2 linked regions of the Rattus norvegicus genome follow. The protein of the gene in region 2 purifies or fractionates together with the protein of the main gene of each other region. This does not show direct contact. Links are inferred from orthologs where the notes say so. Each region holds a gene or a part of one and is shown on either strand. Other genes may lie near its edges. The genes, in order: Fbxw11 and Khdrbs2.

Region 1 (9,671 bases), on a different chromosome or scaffold from region 2:
CACTCCAATTCTTCCTCTAAACCGGGTTTTCACAAAATGTCACCCTCAGGCCTGGCAGGCAGCCTTGGCCAGGGGTACAGCTGAGCATCAGCCTCTACCTCTATGAAGCTGGTCCCTGCTCCCTCAACTATCAGAGGACCACGGAAGATGAAACACGTGCTCAGCACCACCTATTGGGACACTGACAGAAGAGTGGGCTGTAATTAAAAGAGAGGGTTCTCCCCATCAGTGGACTGTGCTGGCCTGAGTCATTGCTGGCCGCTTGCACTTCATACAAGGACCATCAAGGTGCTCAGCTATCAGCCCAGCTCGGCGGCAGCGAGGCCCGTCTCATACGGGAGCCCTCTTTAACACCTGCCACGCCATCAGCCCAGCTCGGCGGCAGCGCTCCTGTAGAGGAAGGTTTCACGTGGTAGGGAACTTGTAAAATCGCCTTACCCTGTGCAAAATCTCAAAACACTGGGAGAGTAGCCATGATATACAGAGTATACAGCGGCATTTAAATTGGCAATAGAGTGAAAACAGATGTCTGAGTATGGAGGAATAACATTATTTTTAGAAGCCTAAACATAACTGAGTGGGTGGGCAAGTTTCAGCATTTTCTAGCATTTTTAGTTTCTATTCTGTTAATATCGTTTGCAAACCACAAAAAAAGCTTTCCACTTTCCTTGAATGAAATGTGGTTTATTAAAAGGTGTGATACAACACACCGCCATTTTCCCCATGACCAGTTCCAAGGAGAGTGCTTCAAAGCCACTTACCCAGTAAATATACAGAGTCACTACTCTGGAATGGCAGACATTAGTTTGCTTGTAAGAGCAGCAGCCTTCCATCTGCAGAGGCATTGGGAGTGTGGGCGGACAGAGCCTGGGAGTCGGCAGTTTCATCTAACCAAGTCCCTGCGGTGAGTGGACACTGAGCCTTGAAAGTAGCACTGACAAGGATTCTAGACAGTGAGGGAGTGTGTGGCTGCCTCTTGACAGGACACGCCTCAGGTTTACCAGGAGTTCCTTTTCAATTTAGAGGCCTGCAAACCCTCCATGTGGCAAGAACACCCAGGAGGGAGGAACCTTTGCAGAAAGTTAAGAATGTGAACTCTTCTCCACAGACCGTGACTCTCACTTCCCCATTTTCTGAACAGCAGGAGCTAGCCACACAAAACCAGGTTGCCTATTTTTCCTTAAAATACAGTCAATTTCTGGTGGCTTGATGTGAAAGGCAAAGTTGGGAGAAGAACCTTTTCCTCTATGCTCATGATAGCCAAAGCTGAGAATGATGTACTTCAGCAAGCCATCAAGGAGAGCAGTGTCAAACAAGAGTGGGGGTCAAGGGAGAGCCGATCTGTGGAGTGTAAGGGAAGGGATAGTAGACTGGGGAGCTGTGCACAGGCGAGGGCAACGCTACCTTTTCCCTAACAGAACTAAAGCAAGGCCAAGGGATCTCATCTGAACAGTTAAGGAGCTGACTATCCACATTCTTAGAGGAAGACAAGTCTACTGGAATAAAACATGCCTTTCTCCTTCGCTTCCTGAACTTTCTACTTTGGAAATAGCAAACCACTAACTGTAAACCCAGGGCTAGACTGGCCTGAGCTAAAAGTCACCTCTCCTATGTAGCACATTCTAAAACTTCTTTTAGTCTCAGTGTCCCTTTGTGATATGATATGATATGGTATGATATATGATATGATATGAGATGAGATGAGATGATACGATATGGCATGATACAGACCTTGCAAAATTATTGCTTTTATATGTGTAAGTCCCCTCACAGTTCATGGTAGACTACAGGAGTGACAATCGAGGTGCCTTGCAGGTGATATTTTCACCGCAGTCATCATGGACAAGCTCATCTGTGTGCCTCACAGATATGATCACAGAGAGAACTTCCACATTTATGCCTGCCCTGACAGAGCACAGCACACTCCTAAAGGGTCTTGTATGAAGAGCCAGAGTACGTGGTTGGTAGTGGGCTCTAGCACTCAGTAACTGTGTTTGTTAGAGTATATGGATGGCTGTGGACTGTGCCACTCAATAATGTGTCCGTTAGAGTGTGGGGGCTGCACCACTCACTGTGATCCAGGGTTAACAGTTTTACCTTGTCAGCCGTGTTTCCTAGATTTTCGGTGTGGAGTTGACCTACTTTCCAGGGTATCTAGACTACTGAATGAAAAGGTATGCTATACACTACTAAACAAAGTATCAAGTAAGTGTCCTATCAGTGGTACACTGTTTCTGTCACTATTACTATTAGTGAGTACACTGAAGTATAAGCGTCATCCCTCATACTAAGAAACTTAGCCACAAAAATTTGGAGGAGACTCTGTGGCCAGGCATTGGGTTTTCCCAAACCACACTGTAAGAACCACTGGGAAGACCACCATGATGCAGAGGTTTTGTGTCAAACTGTGTTTCCCCATGGCTCCATTTCCCGTCACATCTGCCTCCTCTGCTAGCTGTAAAGTATTTTTTCTGCCTGAGGAAATGGTTATGGTAAGTGCTGTCATCCTGTCAATTATAACGTAGTCATGACAACTAAATAAAATAATCTAAATCACCAAACCTCAATCTGATAAAGGTTCTCCAGAATTCCTGTTTATTAATGAGTGACTTTAAACAACACCCCCTCAGAAGGAACGCTGCATTGAGACCACTCATAAAGTAGGAGAGTCTGTCGACAGACTCTGCCAAAGAACAGAAGGGCATTTCTAAGATGTGCATGCACACAGTGTCTTGGTGCGCCAACCTAGAGCAGCCCCTTCCCTCCTGAAATACACAAGCCCTAACCTGTAATGGCGGTCTGCTCTATGTCGCCCACTAAGTCCTGCAGGACGTTAGTCCAAGTTCTGAACAATAAGTCAATTAATTCCTAAACTTTATGTGGCCATGGTTTAAAATTATTGAGCCCTCCCTAAAAGGTTAGTTTTTAAGTCGTTTTAGAGAGCATACACACAGATGTACCATTAATGGGATGGATCCATTAGTTCACATCTGCCTGAGAAGGAGCAGGGATGAACTCCACAAAAGCACATGGCTCTCCAGTAGGGAATTTTGGCATAATAACTTTTATGTTCATCACCTGGGGAAGAGGATTACTTCCCACTTTGGAAACTGGCTGCAACTTTATGGGAGATACAACACTGGCCATCGAAAGCTCACCTTCTCTGCCACAGAGGACACAGTGGAGAGATTAAGAACATACATGAAAGAGTTAATGAAGAAGTACCTGGGCGTGCCTATCCTGGTTTAAGGGAAAGGGCTTAATAATCAAAGTGAATTAGAGCACACCGACAATATCAAACATGGCTAACATCTCTTAGCAAAAGCACAGAGCTCTGCTGGTCACTGAAGTCAACTTCACAACGGCCCCAAAGCATAACCTGCTTCACAAAGCCCGTTTCATAACAGCTTAGAATAACCTGAGCCATTTTTATGAAAACTTATGCATGACCTAAGAGTAGACTCCATACATGCCTTCCAGAGATGACTCAAAAATACAAAAGTACATTCACCTAAAAAACTGGGCCTTGGATTGTAGAAAATTTATCAAATTAGAATACAGTTTATCTTGGATTAAGGTTTTAATTAACTGGCAGCCTTACAGAAGCATTCTGTGTTTTAGAGAAGTTGTGTTTCGATCAAAAGGTGAGTTCAGCTCTGAAGAGCAGCTACAGATTACACACTGTGACATTCATGTCCAAAACTCAACTTTTAAAAGTGCGAGTTCCATGAGTTTAGAACAAAAGGACTTTGAAACAATATAAAAAATTGAGAACAAGCCCCCAAGGGTGTGAGACAATTAAGTAAACAGTTACCTCTATGTCCTGGATAATCTTTGGGTATAATGATCTATAAAATGAGTTGGGAGGGCCATCTGTAGGTCTGTTTTTAAACAGGTACTGATCCCTGGCAAATGAAAACAAACACATGTTACGTTTTTGCATATAAGAGAAGGGATTTCACTTAAGCATCTTATGAGAACAGCCCGAGGTCCGTGTCTTTTCCTTGCACTAGTGTCAACTGTCAAAGGGAGGGGCTCTAACAAGCTACAGTTCCCATGGTAGACACAATCTAGCTCTGGCATGACGCTGGTCTTTTGTCTTTCGAGTGCTGTCCATCACACAGATAATTAAGCTCTCATTTTAGAGCTTTTTCCCCCTTAAACTTTATTTGTAAAAGCTTGCAAAAAAAAAAAAAAAAAACAACAACAACAACAATAGGACACAAGGAAATGAAGCAGTCGCAAAGTCTATACATTTTAATGAATGTCTTAAAAATTACAATAGGCATTCTGAAGCCATGAACTTCACACTAGACTTCACACTTTCAGGATCAAATATATCTTTATGTCTTATCCACTACGAAAAACGAAAACTCCATGCTAGAGTTACAATCAGGAGAACAATTAGCTTGCTATCCCTTTTCAAAATTCCTCATGCCCATTAGCCACACTCAGTCCTTCCTCCGCAGGACTGTGCCGTCCAGTGTGGAGTTCTGTCAGACTGCACCCACATGGAGAGTAAGTGCTAACGACGTCTGTGAATCGTCTTATTTCACATTACATTTCCCCCATATGGAAAATGCAGCGTCGCCCTCCATCTTCCCTTCTTGTGCCTGACTGTAACTCTCTATGCTGACTGAGCCGGATCACTGACAATGCAAGCTATCAAACTGCATCTAAGCTCATGGGCTTTCCTAGAAACCCCATGGTGTGTTTCCACTCTTCCCCGTGCACAGCAGTAAACACAGAAATGGCCTAACTCAGGCTGCTGGAATAGCTCAGTGACAGAGCAGTTGGTTCAATCCTAGCAATTACAAAACTAAGTAACATTACTAGACTCTCATATTTTCCTTTAACAATTTGTTTTATGTGTGGGGGTTTTGCTTGTGTATAAGTCTGTGCACCACATGTGTGCCTGCTCCCCATGGAGGCCAGAAGAGGGCATCAGATCCTCTGGAACTAGAGCACCAGACTGTTGTAAGCTACTAGGTAGGTGCTGGGAATTGAATCGAGGTCCTCTGAATGAACAGCCCATGTTAACCACTGATGGATTTCTCTAGCTCCAGCTCTCTTACCTGTCTATGATGGGAGGAAGCACACATTTAGAGCTTTAAAAAGATGAATGTGTCACCCACCTGAGGCCTTAAAACCTTTGTACCAACAAACCCGTGTCAGAGGAGGAGCCTCTAACAGCTTAGACTTTCATTTTCTTCCTTGTTGAAACAGACTACACATTCACAAGCATTTGCCTGAGTAATCAAGCTGACAGTACACCACAGGAACGTTTTCCAAACAAGCCCGTACTTACCAGCCTCTTCTTTCTGAGAGTCCCTTCCAGAGAGGGTCGGTGCGCACCATCCTCTCGATCAGCTTCTTCCAAAGCATCCCCTCGGAGATCACCCGCTGCCACTCTTTACACACCAGCTCTGCTGCACACAGAGACCTGGCATCCAGGTAGGAAAGAATGTTCTCTGCTATGTGATCTAAGCCTTGCTCTACAACACAGAAAATCAAGGGAAGGAGTGGGTAGGGCAGTGCACAGACCAGTCCTTACTCCAAAGGAAAAGGTAAGTAACTCTTTTTTTTTTTTTTTTTTTTTTGGTTCTTTTTTTTTTTTTGGAGCTGGGGACCGAACCCAGGGCCTTGCGCTTCCTAGGTAAGCGCTCTACCACTGAGCTAAATCCCCAACCCCGGTAAGTAACTCTTAAGGCAGGCACAATAAGCACAAGCAAAGCATGGAAAGGCTCAGGAACTGTCTTGCCATGACAGCTGCCCTGGGACAGCTCTGTCCTTGGAATTCTCAGAAGCCCCTCCCCATTTTTCTGCTGAACTTTAAAAGGCCAATGGTTCTCCAAAGTTACAGCCAAGGAACACAGAGGGAAAGCTCTTGGGCTGTGCTCTGTAGTGAAGCCAGAATGGGAACTCATGCTGTCTTGCTTCAAAACCTGTGCTTTTGCTCATATTGTGAACATGAGCAATAAACCACACTCCACCATGAACTCTTGACAGCCATGGGACCAAATGGCAAGACTGACCCATTTTTTAAAACATATGAAGATTTAAAAAGTGTTCAAGTCATGCTAGAGAGAAGGCTCCGAGGTTAAGAGCACTGCTCCAGAAGAGTAGTAATTCAATTCCCAGCATCCACATGGTGGCTCACAACCATCTGAAATGGGATCAGATGCCCTCTTCTGGTGTGTCTGAAGACAGCTACAGTGTACTCACATACATAAAATAAATAAATCTAAAAAACTGAAAGTAAAGAAAGGTAAGTGTTCATGTCAGTCTTCTAATCTCCTCTGACAAAGAACTGCTTTCTGTTCTGAGCAGATGGGTAAGAACCCTCAGAGCAATGTCCTGCTTCCTCACTCACTCCAGGACTTTGGGAAGAGCCTGCTCGATCTACAGACCTGAGGAACCCAGAGTGGAAGGACATAACCAACTCCCAAAAGTTGTTCTTTCACCTCCATAGAGTTGGGAGTGTTGTGGTACACACACACACACACACACACGCACGCACAGGCACGCGTGCACACACACACAGGCACAGGCATGCGTGCACACACACACACAGGCACAGGCACGCGTGCACACACACACGCACACACGCACACACACACACACACACACACACACAGGCATGCGCACGCACACACACACACACATGGCAGAAATAAGAGGAAAATGCAAGGGCCTTGCAGAGAAGTTCACTCAAGGTCCAGCTCTGCCTGAGCTTTGCCATGGAAGAGCACCATGGGTAGCACTGTCACTGCCTGTTGCATTCCTTCTTGTACTTGTAGGTGTCGCTCTGTGGCTACAGAAAGCACTCCTCATCCCCAAGTGTGGAACATCCACATTCCATGTCCCAAGTTCAGTGTGCGCTGCTGGTCGCATGACGCAAACCAGACACTGAAACAACCCTGCCTCAGTAGCAGCGGCTGCTGCCTCCATCCCCTCCTCACAGAGTGTGGTCAAGAAAGGCTGACTGTGAGAATCGACACAAAATGACGCGTAAGGAATTCTGTCCACCCAGATGTGGTGGGCGCCCATGCCTGACATTTTAGTTGGAGGCGGGGATGTTTCACAAATGGAGATTGCCTTACTGTCTCAGAGTGACATGGTCACACTGCTGATGACAGCCCCAAGCCTTTCATATACTGATTCTATCCTGGACTGGATCTAAGACCCAGCTCCACCCGAGGCACCACTGCTATGCTGTTTACTTGAATTACCTTAGGGTCACACAATCAAAGACTGACCTCCTGCCCCTAAGGGCCATATCAGAGCAGGCTCCTGAGACGGTTACAAGTTAAAATAAATCCCATGTCCTTCTCCCCAGTTGCTATTAAAATGATTGATTCCCTTCAATTCTGACTTGCCCACCAGTGGGACAGGATCACAGCACTTCCTGCTTATCCCTACCGTAATTCAGCTTCAACATTTCCACGTGGCCCGGCCACTGCAGTCTCGAGAATTCTGGTTTTTAGCATCCAGAAAACGGATATTTCTCGGCAGACTACATAAGGAGCAGACCACCTTTACCCGCAGCTGACTACAAAGATGGGGAACGGGTCAGAACCAAGGACAGCACCCAGGACGGTGGCGCTCCCCTGCAGGCTATTCCTGATGACTCTGGTAATACTCCAGGGTCCCAAGACTCAGGTGCCAGCTCAGTGAGACATACAGACAATCCAGTCCACATCTGTCACTTCAGTCCCTAGGGACATGCGGACAGGCTCCCATGAAGACACTGCCGTCTGTAGCTCATTCTTCTGACCTTGACTTGGGAGGAGCCCACTGAGTCTGGCTCACTCTGGTACTTACTTACTAGTTGCTCTGCGTCCCTCCTAACATACACAATCCATGCTTTTTGGAGAAAAATTACAAAACACACATAAACAAATTAACTGCCAGCTCTAAAGCCCTTATCCAAGCGATCTTTCACACCCTGCATTCACCTGTTGGAAGATTATCCACCCTTCCTAATCTTTCCAGGTGCCAATTAACTTTTTTTAAATTAAGATGAGCTGAAGAATAATATCCAGCGTAACATATGCGTTCTATAAATGCCTCCTCGGTTCTTTTTTAAAAATATTTATTTATTTATTATATATAAGTACACTGTAGCTGTCTTCAGACACACCAGAAGAGGGCATCAGATCCCATTTACAGGTGGTTGTGATCCACCATATGGTTGCTGGGAATTGAACTCAGGACCTCTGGAGGAGCAGTCAGTGCTCTTAACCACTGAGCTATCTCTCCAGCCTGCCTTCCCAGTTCTTTTTTTTTTTTTTTTTTTTTTTTGGTTCTTTTTTTTTCCCCCCCGAAGCTGGGGACCGAACCCAGGGCCTTGCGCTTCCTAGGCAAGCGCTCTACCACTGAGCTAAATCCCCAACCCCGCATCCCCAGTTCTTAAAAGTTGGAGACTTGTCTGACAGTCTCCTCTGGGCACCATCAGGCAGGACTAAGAGCCCAGCTGCACCAATACTCAGTCACTTCTCAGAACTCCCCAGTTCTGAACAGCAGTCCCAGGCCCTGTCGCTACCCCACAAATTTGCTTGCAGGATTTCTAAATATATTCACATCTTTCTGGGCCACATTTTTTTTCCTTTACTGTTTAAGAGACAGAAAGACCAGAGTGGAGATAGACCATGCTGCCATCTCCAGCTCAGCATCCCTACATTCCTTGTAACTCCCTCCAGGTGGTTGGCTACTTGGCTTCAACTCTCCTTCTCTAGACAATCTGACACGATGTCCAATGGATTCTTGATACCATTCTCCAAAGCCCAGCCCCCTTCTGTGAGCCATATGTTCGCCTCTCCTACAGCTTCTGTGTGTAGTCACACAGGTCTGCCTCTCTCCACACCACAGCTACAACTACGGACTCAAATTACAGAATCTCTCAGCTGCCGAAAGCCGAGTCTATAACTTATCCAAATATAATCACATTAAAATCATGCTTGATCACATTCTCTAGCCACAGGGTGACACACTTGGTTCTTCTTGGATTTCTCCAAAGCTGGGGGCTCACAGACTTCCTCCCACACAGGATATTAACATGACTTTACATGACTCCCATGACTTCCGCCCCACTAACTGGATCCTCCTAATTGGTTATAAACATGCCCTTACCAATTCCCCCTTCAAATCCTCTATTCTTGGAAAGATGAAACAAATAGCAAGACATTAGAACATACATTAGAATGCCAGCTGCCTTTCCAGATCTCAGAGGCAGGATTCCCAAGACCTGTGAAGAACCAGGAGAAGAGCATTCAAACTTCTACTTTACCAACAAGCCAGAGCTTGCAACCATGAGACACTAAAGCCTTGGACTGGAATCAACTAGGATCACTGACTTTCAAAAGGACAGCAGCATTACAGATCCCTCACGCTTCTACTGATTCAACCTCTGGAGGGAGGCAGCCTAGGAATCCATCTCTTGGAAGTGCCACCAAATTGTGACAAATGAGGGATGACTGGTTTATAGCAAGGGCACCCTAGAAGTCTTGGATCTTTCTCCTTACTGATTGCTCACACAACTAAGCCATTAATAAATTTTTGAATAAGCAAATCCCTTACATATCTCTCCTTTCAAATGCCATGAGCTCATTTAAACAATGCCCTAGTGACACCTAAGGTTTCCTTTGGTTACTACTTTAAACTGTTAGTCT
Region 2 (9,671 bases):
TCTGGCTATTATAAATAAGGCTGCGAAGAACATAGTGGAGCACGTGTCTTTTTTATATGTTGGGGCATCTTTTGGGTATATGCCCAAGAGAGGTATAGCTGGATCCTCAGGCAGTTCAATGTCCAATTTTCTGAGGAACCTCCAGACTGATTTCCAGAATGGTTGTACCAGTCTGCAACCCCACTAACAATGGAGGAGTGTTCCTCTTTCTCCACATCCTCTCCAGCATCTGCTGTCACCTGAGTTTTTGATCTTAGCCATTCTCACTGGTGTGAGGTGAAATCTCAGGGTTGTTTTGATTTGCATTTCCCTTATGACTAAAGATGTTGAGTTAACCTAAAAACTAAATTAGCATGTAACACAAACACTCCACCTTTTGCGTTCATCAAAGCAAGCTTATTTGAAACTTTTGAGATAATATTATCTCAAGTGAATTTAATGTTAAAAATATGCAATTGACCTAAAAATGTAACTTTGTAGTCAGGTGCATCATGTTCCAGAATTCAAACCCTTAAAACAAAACCATAATCAAGTGATTTGCTCCCTCCCAGGGGAACAGGGTAAGCTCTAACTTCTCTGGTATTAAAACATATGGCAGGGACTTACACTTGAAACTTATCTGCATTACTAAGTATCATCATTGCATGAAAATCTAAAGCTGATTTGCTTGCTTACCATAAGTTTTTTATTTATCTGAAGTGGGAGAAGAGCTCACTATATTTGCCTGCTTGGGTGTTCAACACTGGCTTCTCTTGTTTTAGCTCCAGGGTAGTAGGGATTGCAGACATACATCACCAAAGCAACTTAGATTTCCCTCTTGCCAGGATGAAATGCTAAAACTCACCCAACATACAGAAAACACCATGGCGTTTAATTCACATCCAGATTGCACAGTTTCTAAAAATCATTTCCTGTTTCTTGCACTCTTTTCAAAGTCTGTTGTCCTGGAAATATATGACAGAACACAATCTTTTGGAAAACCATATTTCCAAACACTTGTGTTTTAATTACCAGAACTAAATGCAAGCCAGAGGTGAATTCCAACAATTTAAACCTGGAAACAAGTCTAGTCATTGTCATGTCTAAACCGTATATTGTTTTAGTTTGTTGTGCTACAAGGAAAATGCCTAGAAATCCACTCAGTATTTTCTGATGGGTCAAGTTGAGTACATGTAACTCAGTATATGGGAAAGGACTCTCTTTTCTGGAGATGTTCCCTGGTGGATATTGATAAGATCCTGAGTCAATATAGTGATATGCCTGCCTCAGCTTACACAGGTTGCTCCTTTAAGTCACATTTGGGCTTCTATTCAAAGGATGCTTTGTAAGTTAAGTTGTGATGCATAGTTTAAATGGCAACATGGTATAGTGAATATCAATTGAGAAGAAAGTCTCAATGGAGGAATGATCTCAGGTAAAACTGGCTCAGGTAAAGGACAACATTGAATTGGGGCTGGCTTACAGATTCAGAGGTTCAGTCCATTATCATCAAGGCAGGAGCATGGCAGCATCCAGACAGGCATGATGCAGGAGGAGCTGAGAGTTCTATATCTTCACTGGATGGAAGCCAGAAGCAGACTGGGCATCCTCGGGCAGCTAGGAGGAGGGTCTCCAAGCCCACCCCCACAGTGACACACTTCCTCCAACAAGGCCATACCTTCTAATAGTGCCTCTCCCTGGGCCAAGCATATGCAAACCATCACTGTGTGTATGTGTGTGTTTGTGTGTGTGTGTGTGTGTGTGTGTGTGTGTGTGCGTGTGTGTGTAGAAAACAAAATGTTTGGAGGCATAGCTGAATGTAAGCTGCCCAATATTGTTTCCAGGAACACAGCTCCTATTCTCTAACAAAGCAACAAGTACCATTAAGCGCTGAGTTTCGCCCCAGCCTCCTTAATATATATTGTTAAAATCTGTGCAAGGATCCTCCTCATTGTTCAGAAATTTTGTCTCATGTTAATAGTGATGGTGGGCTGCCTTAGTGCAGAATAAAAAAGGACACAGTTGCAGCAGCAGCAACTGTAATAGAACCGTGTCTACTTTACATCATGATCATGAGAAAGCATCTCATACCTTATATTACTTTTTTGCTGAGTAACTCATGTCTTTTTATTGGAGAAATGTCTCTGGTCCAATGCTGGATCCAGCATTGCTGTTTAAGGGGAGGTGTCACACATTTCCTGCCCCTGGAGCATCCCAAAGCCATTGATCCCCACATGTGCTGATGACTGATGCCCTAAAACTGACCTGCTTTCTCTTTCATTTCATCTTCAATCACTCTTTTGGGGGAACTTACTTCCCCCATTCCTCAGAGCTAATGACTCCATAATAAATGAAACAGATGTGGCTCTCAAGATTGAGGAATTGAGGTGATCACGAGATTGTGAAAGACAAAGAACAGGCCTTCTGCTGGGCCTTCGAAGGCATGCGGAAGGATCTAGACAACATAACCACAGAGGCCGTAAAAGCCTACATGCTCCTTTGTAGAATGGTTCATTGCCAGACTTGGACTTGAATTTGGAATTAGGAGGAGATGCTTGTACCATCTGCCTCAATGACTGCTACAGTCATTAGCCAGGGTGAACTTGGGGACATCAAGGGACGAGAGTCTCAAGATGAAAAGTCATGGATAGGAAAAGAAGAAATCTATAAATGCAAGCAAATGATAGGTGAGCTTGTCTTATAGGAGAAAGGCTTATATATGATCTAGAAATAAATACTATTAGAAAGAGAGTACATGGAGCTCTGGGTTTGCTAGGATAGGAATCAAGGATTGGAGAATTATAAGATGATGCACAAGCAAATAAAAAGTTAGTGCTTTGTTCTCCTGGAAGACAGGATATGGCAATTTAGATTGAAGGAGATATTAAAGATAGCTGCATGCTTTAAGTGCATAAATTTTAAAATTTTGTAAGAGATTATTTTAATCTTAGTAGTCTATCACTGTTCTGTTTTTACATGAAGGGGATTACTAAAGACCGCTGTCTGCTGTACCAAGAAACCTCAAGAGCTGTGCCCAGCTACTTGTGAAGAGTAGACTGTGTAAAACTATAAGAAAATGTGCTTTTGCTTTGAGTTTAGTTTCTGTTTTAAGGAAGCAGGGCTCTGGGATTCATAAAATTTAAGTAAATTTAAGGATTTCCAAAAAAAAAATCCTTAACAATATTCAAACCTTGATGATGTAGGTTTGGTTAAAAAAATCTGGGTTCAGTCTCTCTGGTAGGGAGAAGGCAAAGGATGAGAAGGGAGAAGGAAGAAAGGAGAGGCAAGAATGATGAGAATCCTCAGGTAAAGAGCGAGCCCTTGAGCTGACTGAATGCTTCCACAACTGACTCCTGGTCATTGTTGAATCACCGCTGCTCCCATATCCCCTTCTCAGGACCCTCCTTACACTGAGGCTGGTTCTCAGCAGTTAGAGCACTTTCTGCTCTTGAAGAGGACCTCGGTTCAGCATCCAGTATGAACACAATGGCACCCAACCACCAGTTTCTGCAGTTTCAGGGTACCCGATACCCTCTTCACTGGCCTTCATGGGCAAAAGGCATAAACTTCATATACATTTGTTCAGACAAAACACACATACATATAAAAGAAAAATAAATGTATCTTATAAAGTAATCCATGCATTCTTGGAACTACACTGTCCACACATGCAGGGTACCACTGAACACCTATAATTTTGTTTTGTGATGTATGTATGTGCTATTAATCAGTGAACCATCTCTCCAGTCCCTGGCCTCCTTTTTTAGTAGTTTGGAACCACTTAACCATTGAGTTTCCATAAAACCTTTTAATATATCTTTAACATTGATTATTCTAAACAAGAACTTCCTCTCCCTTCTTGCTCCAGCCCCCTCGCCCAACTTTGTCTTTTAGTTGCAGGTACCTCTCTTCTCTTCCATAGTATATATATATATATATATATATATATATATATATATATATATATATATATATATATATATATTTTCCCTACCTCTTAGCTCCTCCACATGATGATACTCCTGCCTGCCAGAGTCTTTCTACCCCCACATAGCATTCACCTCTTTAGTTATCCTGATCTACAATCTCCTATTCCTTTCCTTCACTTATGTCTCTTGCCAATAACTTTTTTCTATTAATTTCTCTGGCTTCTGCCTGGGATACAACTTACACATGCCAAACACTAAGTCTGAAGTGAGAATTCCACTTACAAGAGGGAACCTCTGCTTTTTGTCCTTCATGGCTTTGCATATTAGGATCTATTGATGTTCTATTCAGTTACCTGAACATTGGGCTATTTTGGTCTCCAATAACAGCTGAGTGATATATATATATATATATATCATATTTCTATTACATTCTTATCTTGTTTATGAATGTCTAGGTCAGGTACATTTCTAGCTAGTGACAAGAGAGTGGCAGTTGAAGTGTCTCTGTAAAGATAGAAAGTCTTTGCGTGTATGCCCTGGAGTATAGGCCCATATGGCACTTCTAGTTTTTGAGAAACTTCTGGTCTAAATTCTACAGTGGCTACACTAGCTTTCACTCCCATCAAAAGTGTAAACCATTCCACCTTTATCACATCCACATATGCAGGGTTGGCATTACCTTCACAATGATGGCCATTCAAACTGGAATAAGATGGCCTTTTAAACTAGACCTTATTTCTGTTTCCCTAATGACTTTGACTGGGATTATTTTTAAAGATGCTTTTGAGCCCCCTTTATTTCTTAAGCAAAGTTTGTTCAATTTGAAATTCTAACGGTATTGGTTTGGTTTAACTTTTTTGTTAGTCTGTTTGGTTTTCTTTTTTTTCTCTGTGATAATTTTGGCAACGGGGGAACTGGCTGAAAGAGGAAACCTTGTTTCCCACCATTTCTTTCATGTAATTTCAGCTAATATTAAAACTCTGATGTTCCTGTACAACTCAATGAAAATCTACTTATTATTCGAAAAGTACTTTACACCAGACAGGAAAGAACCTTGTTCTCCCAAAAATGCAATGATGTTTCCAGAAACATCATTCCAGAAACTGCCCTTAGATGCCTTGGCTTCATGAGGTTAACATTTCATCAAACTGATTAAAAATTGTGTGGTTGAGGACAATGGCAGGTTTCTTCAAAATCCACATGAAGCTCAACAAGAAGGACGACCAAACTTCAGATGCTTCAGTCCTTCTTAGAAGGGGGAACAAAAATAGTCATAGGAGGAGACATGGAGACAAAGTTTGGAGCAGAGACTGAAGGAATAGCCATTCAGAGCCTACCCCACCTGAGGATCCATATACAGCCACCAAACTCAGAAAACACTGATGATGTCAAGAAGTGCATGCTGACAGGAGCCTGATATAGCTGTGTCCTGAGATGCTCTGCCGTAACATGACAAATACAGAGGCAAATGTTAGCAGCCAACCATTGAACTGAGAATGGTGTCTCCATTGGAGGAGTTAGAGAAAGGATTATGGAGCTGAAGGGATTTGTAACCCCGTTAAAAACAACAATATCAACCAACCAGAGCTCCCAGGGACTAAAGCACCATTCAAAGAGTACACATGGACAGATCCATGGTTCTAGCTACATATGGAACAGAGAATGGCCTTGTTGGGCACCAATGGGAAGAAAAGCCCTTTGTCCTATCAAGGCGGGACAACCTCCCCTCCCCACCCCGTGTAAGGAATGTCAGGTGAGGTGAGAAGGAGTGGGTGGTTGGGTGGGGGAAAGCAGATAACATTTGAAATTAAATAAAAAATATCCAATAAAAAATGAAAAGGGAAAAAATATCCAAATTTGAAAATGGTTAACCAACTTGCAGTGAAGTTTTATTTCTCAAAGAATTTCTTTCCACCTTTGGAAAATTTGCTTAGATTATGGCCCTTTGTCATATTCTCAGGAAATGTTAAATCAATGTAAAATGAGTGCATCCATATTTCTAAATATAACTTCTTTACAGGAAGAAGAGCTGAGGAAGAGTGGGGAGGCCAAGTATGCCCACCTGAGTGACGAACTGCACGTATTAATTGAAGTGTTTGCTCCACCCGGGGAAGCTTACTCACGGATGAGTCATGCTTTGGAAGAGATTAAAAAATTCCTGGTTCCTGTAAGTGACTTTGATTTTACAAATGGTTCCTTATCAGTTTCTATTTTAAGTTGTGTCTTTGATCTCCATTGATTTTTGAAAGTGACTTCACATTGCACATTAGTTATCTATGCATAGATTATTCCGACAAAAGTATTCACCACCAACCAGTTATATAGTATACACGAGTCCACAGCCAGGAAGAATAAGAATAATAAGAATAACAAGCAAAGATACATTATTTATGCCACATTTCCCTGCTTTGAGCCCTTGACATGTAGTTTGAAAATTTATAATTAGTACAAAAGGTATAATTAAAAAGGGATGGAATTGAATATTATTTATAATAAAACATTCACAGTACTTTAGAATAGTTAATGATTTTTATGTGACAGTATGTCAGGTGCTGGCTGATACAAAATAGCACATAAGATCATGTTAATGAAGGCAGATAAATGTCAACTTAAAAAGTTAGAAATATAAACTCACTAGGCAGTGTGAGCATAATGGGGGATGCTCACCTGCCAATTCAACTGCAAGTTGAATGGAGTTCTCTGCTGATAAAGAAGAAGTAGGAGGAGGTAAGTGCACGGAGTCTTAAGGATGAAAAAGGAGCATTCTAGGAAGAGGTCTTTCAATAGAAATCTTGCCATGAGTTTTAGTGCTGCGGTATTGAGAGACTGCTGAGTAATGTTCCGTGGACGATCTTGGGGAAATCCTGAGCTCAGAGAGTGGTTCTCTGAGATTCATCTGCAAAGGAAGAAACTAGGGGTTTGAACACTCAGTAAAAACTTCAAAGAATATTCCATTTTTGGTTTATTGATTAGTAATAACATTGAAAACTGGGAAGCAAAAGTATCTTAGAATTTTCTAGGTGTATAAACATTAAGGTCTATCCACGTTTTCTAGTCACATGTCCGACCCAAACATTAATCTTTGTCAAGACACGATTGCAGAATAATGCCTCACTAAGTTGAGTATTTCTTAACTTCAGGAACACGGTTATTAATTGGGTCTCATCATCTGGAAACCTTCCTAAATATATCCCATTCTCAAGATGGATGAACCTACATTCTTTCTTCCATTGGTTTCCAAGGGAATATTTAGCGCTAGGCTGAGTAAGCCATTTTAGTCAATTTACTACAGAACAGAACAGATACATGTATGTGCAGTGAGGCCAGGACTGCTTATATCACAAATTTATTGTATAGCTTTAGCTAAGTTACTTAAGTTAGCATCCGTTTGTGCATCTTCAAAATGAAAGTGATCACAGCTTAATTAGTCACAACTAGTATCAATATCAAACAGGATAATACATGCAAAGGGGATTAAAATAGGAAAACACTGTAGAAATGTACTTTTAAGTCTATTATAGTAGAAAAACTTTCTGAGGTAAAATGTGTTAGACACAGTAATATGACTTTTTTTTGGATATATATTCTTTCCTCCCTTTAAACTTTCTCATATAATGCTCCCTGATCTACTTCAAGTTCTTGGCCTCTTTTTAACCAATTGTTCTTTTATTCCTACTTATTTTATTCCAATCTTTATACTGTTCATTTTAGCATGTCTTTGATGCATATATTTTGAACATAGAATGCATGGTAAGTCCATGCCCTTGCATACTGAATGTAAATGATATGTATCACTTTCTTATATATTATACCTTGTAATCAGTCCATTTCTAAATTATGCACTAAAACATGAATGCTTGGCATGCTTGGCAATTTCTTTCTGTGCCAACATTGTCTCTTCTCCATTTAGCAGGGTTTTCTCAGTTTTTCTAATGCTGCATCCCTTTTACAGTTGTGCTGGCCCCGAACAACAAAATCATTGTCATTGCCCCTTCATACCATGATGTCATGTAAATACCTGTGTTTTGCAATATTCCTATGTAACCCTGTGAAAGAGTCATTCAAACTCCACAGGCAGAGAATGGCTGTTAGCACCTTTGCTAACAGTGTTTTTCTGAAATGACTGAACCAAATTTAGCAGAAAAGCACACAAGGCAAATGCAGTTAGGCCACATGTCTAATCCATGGGGACCATTTAAATATAGGCTCTACCCTGCCTCTGCCATATCTGTGAATTCTGCTCTGTAATCCACTTGTCTCATCCTGTGTTCTTTTATTCTTTTTGGCTCTTGCTTATGCAACATAGAAGCTCACTGCTAACTCTAGAGGCTTGGAGTTTCTTCTCAAAACTTAACATGTCTGTTCCTTTCCCTTTTAGCATCTTCTCAAATCTTACATGCATAGGAACTTCTTCAACCTCAAATCTAAAGTAGCTTCCTTGGTGGCTTTCTACCAGGCAGTGCTGTTGTGACAGGCCCATACATCACTGATAACTCCATTCAAAATAGTGATTCACTGTCCTTACCCTCTCTCCCTATTTATTTCTCTCACAGTTTTTTATTATAATCATATCTTATATAGAGTGATATGGAGGAAGATTGTAAATGATAGATGGATAAATGGATAGATAGATGGTAGAATATAATAGATAGATGACAGATACATACATACTTACATACATACATACATACATACATACATACATACATACATACATACATGCACAGACCTCTTTATGGTTTGTTTACCTCTTAGAACATGAGTGTCCTGAGGGTTGTGGCTGTGAACCTATTCCCCAATAATTTTTATAGGCCATACCATTTGTGACAGTCCTTCTGAATGTTTCTCTTTTTCCCTTTCTTAGCTCCAGGCAAAGGATAGTATTTCTTTACCTTATCTATTACCAGAACCACAAAGAGATTAGATAGATAGATAGATAGATAGATAGATAGATAGATAGATAGATAGATAGATAGATAGATAGATGATGACAACATCACAAGACATTAATATTTATAAACATCAGAGGTGACAATTCATATCAGGAAGTTGGATGCTAGAACAATACAGAAGACCTATTCAGGCCAGAACTCTGACATTCTACTGACATCTTCTTCCTCTGTAAAGTTGTATCTTTTCATCATAGGAACTTTTCATCTTCTCCTTGTTATATTAGATATAATTACTAAACCTGCCTATGTCCATAGGCTACAGTCATCAGAAATACCAGTATGAGTTCAGGAAATCCCTTATGAAATGCTTTATGATGGAAGAAACCAACTCACTTCCTTCAACTAAATTAGGTGTTGAAGAAAACACTGTTGAAGAAAGGTGTTGAAGAAAACTTGAGTAGTTACTGAAACTAGTATGAATGCTTCCAAATTAAAATCTGTAATGCTTAAGTCCATATTATTAAATGGAACATTGCCAATTTTAAACTTTTAATGTTTTAAGAATAAACTCTACCAAAATTATTCATTAATTTGCCTTATTATAGAGATTGATAATCTAGAGTAAATTATAAATTCTACTTATAAAATTACTTAACTGATGCTTCAGTGAGGAGCTCATGTCCATTTTTCTCCTTATGCTGGAAAAACTGGCTGTAACTGGCCTGTTCTATTTCACGGTGTTCCTTTCTTGTATAATTTAGATATTAGGACACAAGCATATTTTGTGTGGATGATGGCTTGTGCAACTTTATACAGCAACATTTTTGCTAAAGTTTGTATCAGGAACGTCCTTAGCACTCCAAATTAATAT

Evidence for each region.
Region 1: the proteins of Khdrbs2 (region 2) and Fbxw11 purify together in Homo sapiens (affinity purification with mass spectrometry; 3 studies listed by BioGRID and IntAct, counting the BioPlex papers as one, with this or other methods). This does not show direct contact. The link is inferred for Rattus norvegicus from reciprocal best matches to the Homo sapiens genes KHDRBS2 and FBXW11.

The regions. Positions count from the first base shown.
Region 1 is NC_086028.1:17,809,579-17,819,249, reverse strand, and holds part of Fbxw11 (F-box/WD repeat-containing protein 11), read right to left. Parts: intron 5,496-9,671; coding exon 5,309-5,495; intron 3,906-5,308; coding exon 3,815-3,905; intron 1-3,814.
Region 2 is NC_086027.1:42,149,726-42,159,396, forward strand, and holds part of Khdrbs2 (KH domain-containing, RNA-binding, signal transduction-associated protein 2), read left to right. Parts: intron 1-5,928; coding exon 5,929-6,075; intron 6,076-9,671. UniProt on the Homo sapiens protein: RNA-binding protein that plays a role in the regulation of alternative splicing and influences mRNA splice site selection and exon inclusion. Binds both poly(A) and poly(U) homopolymers. Phosphorylation by PTK6 inhibits its RNA-binding ability.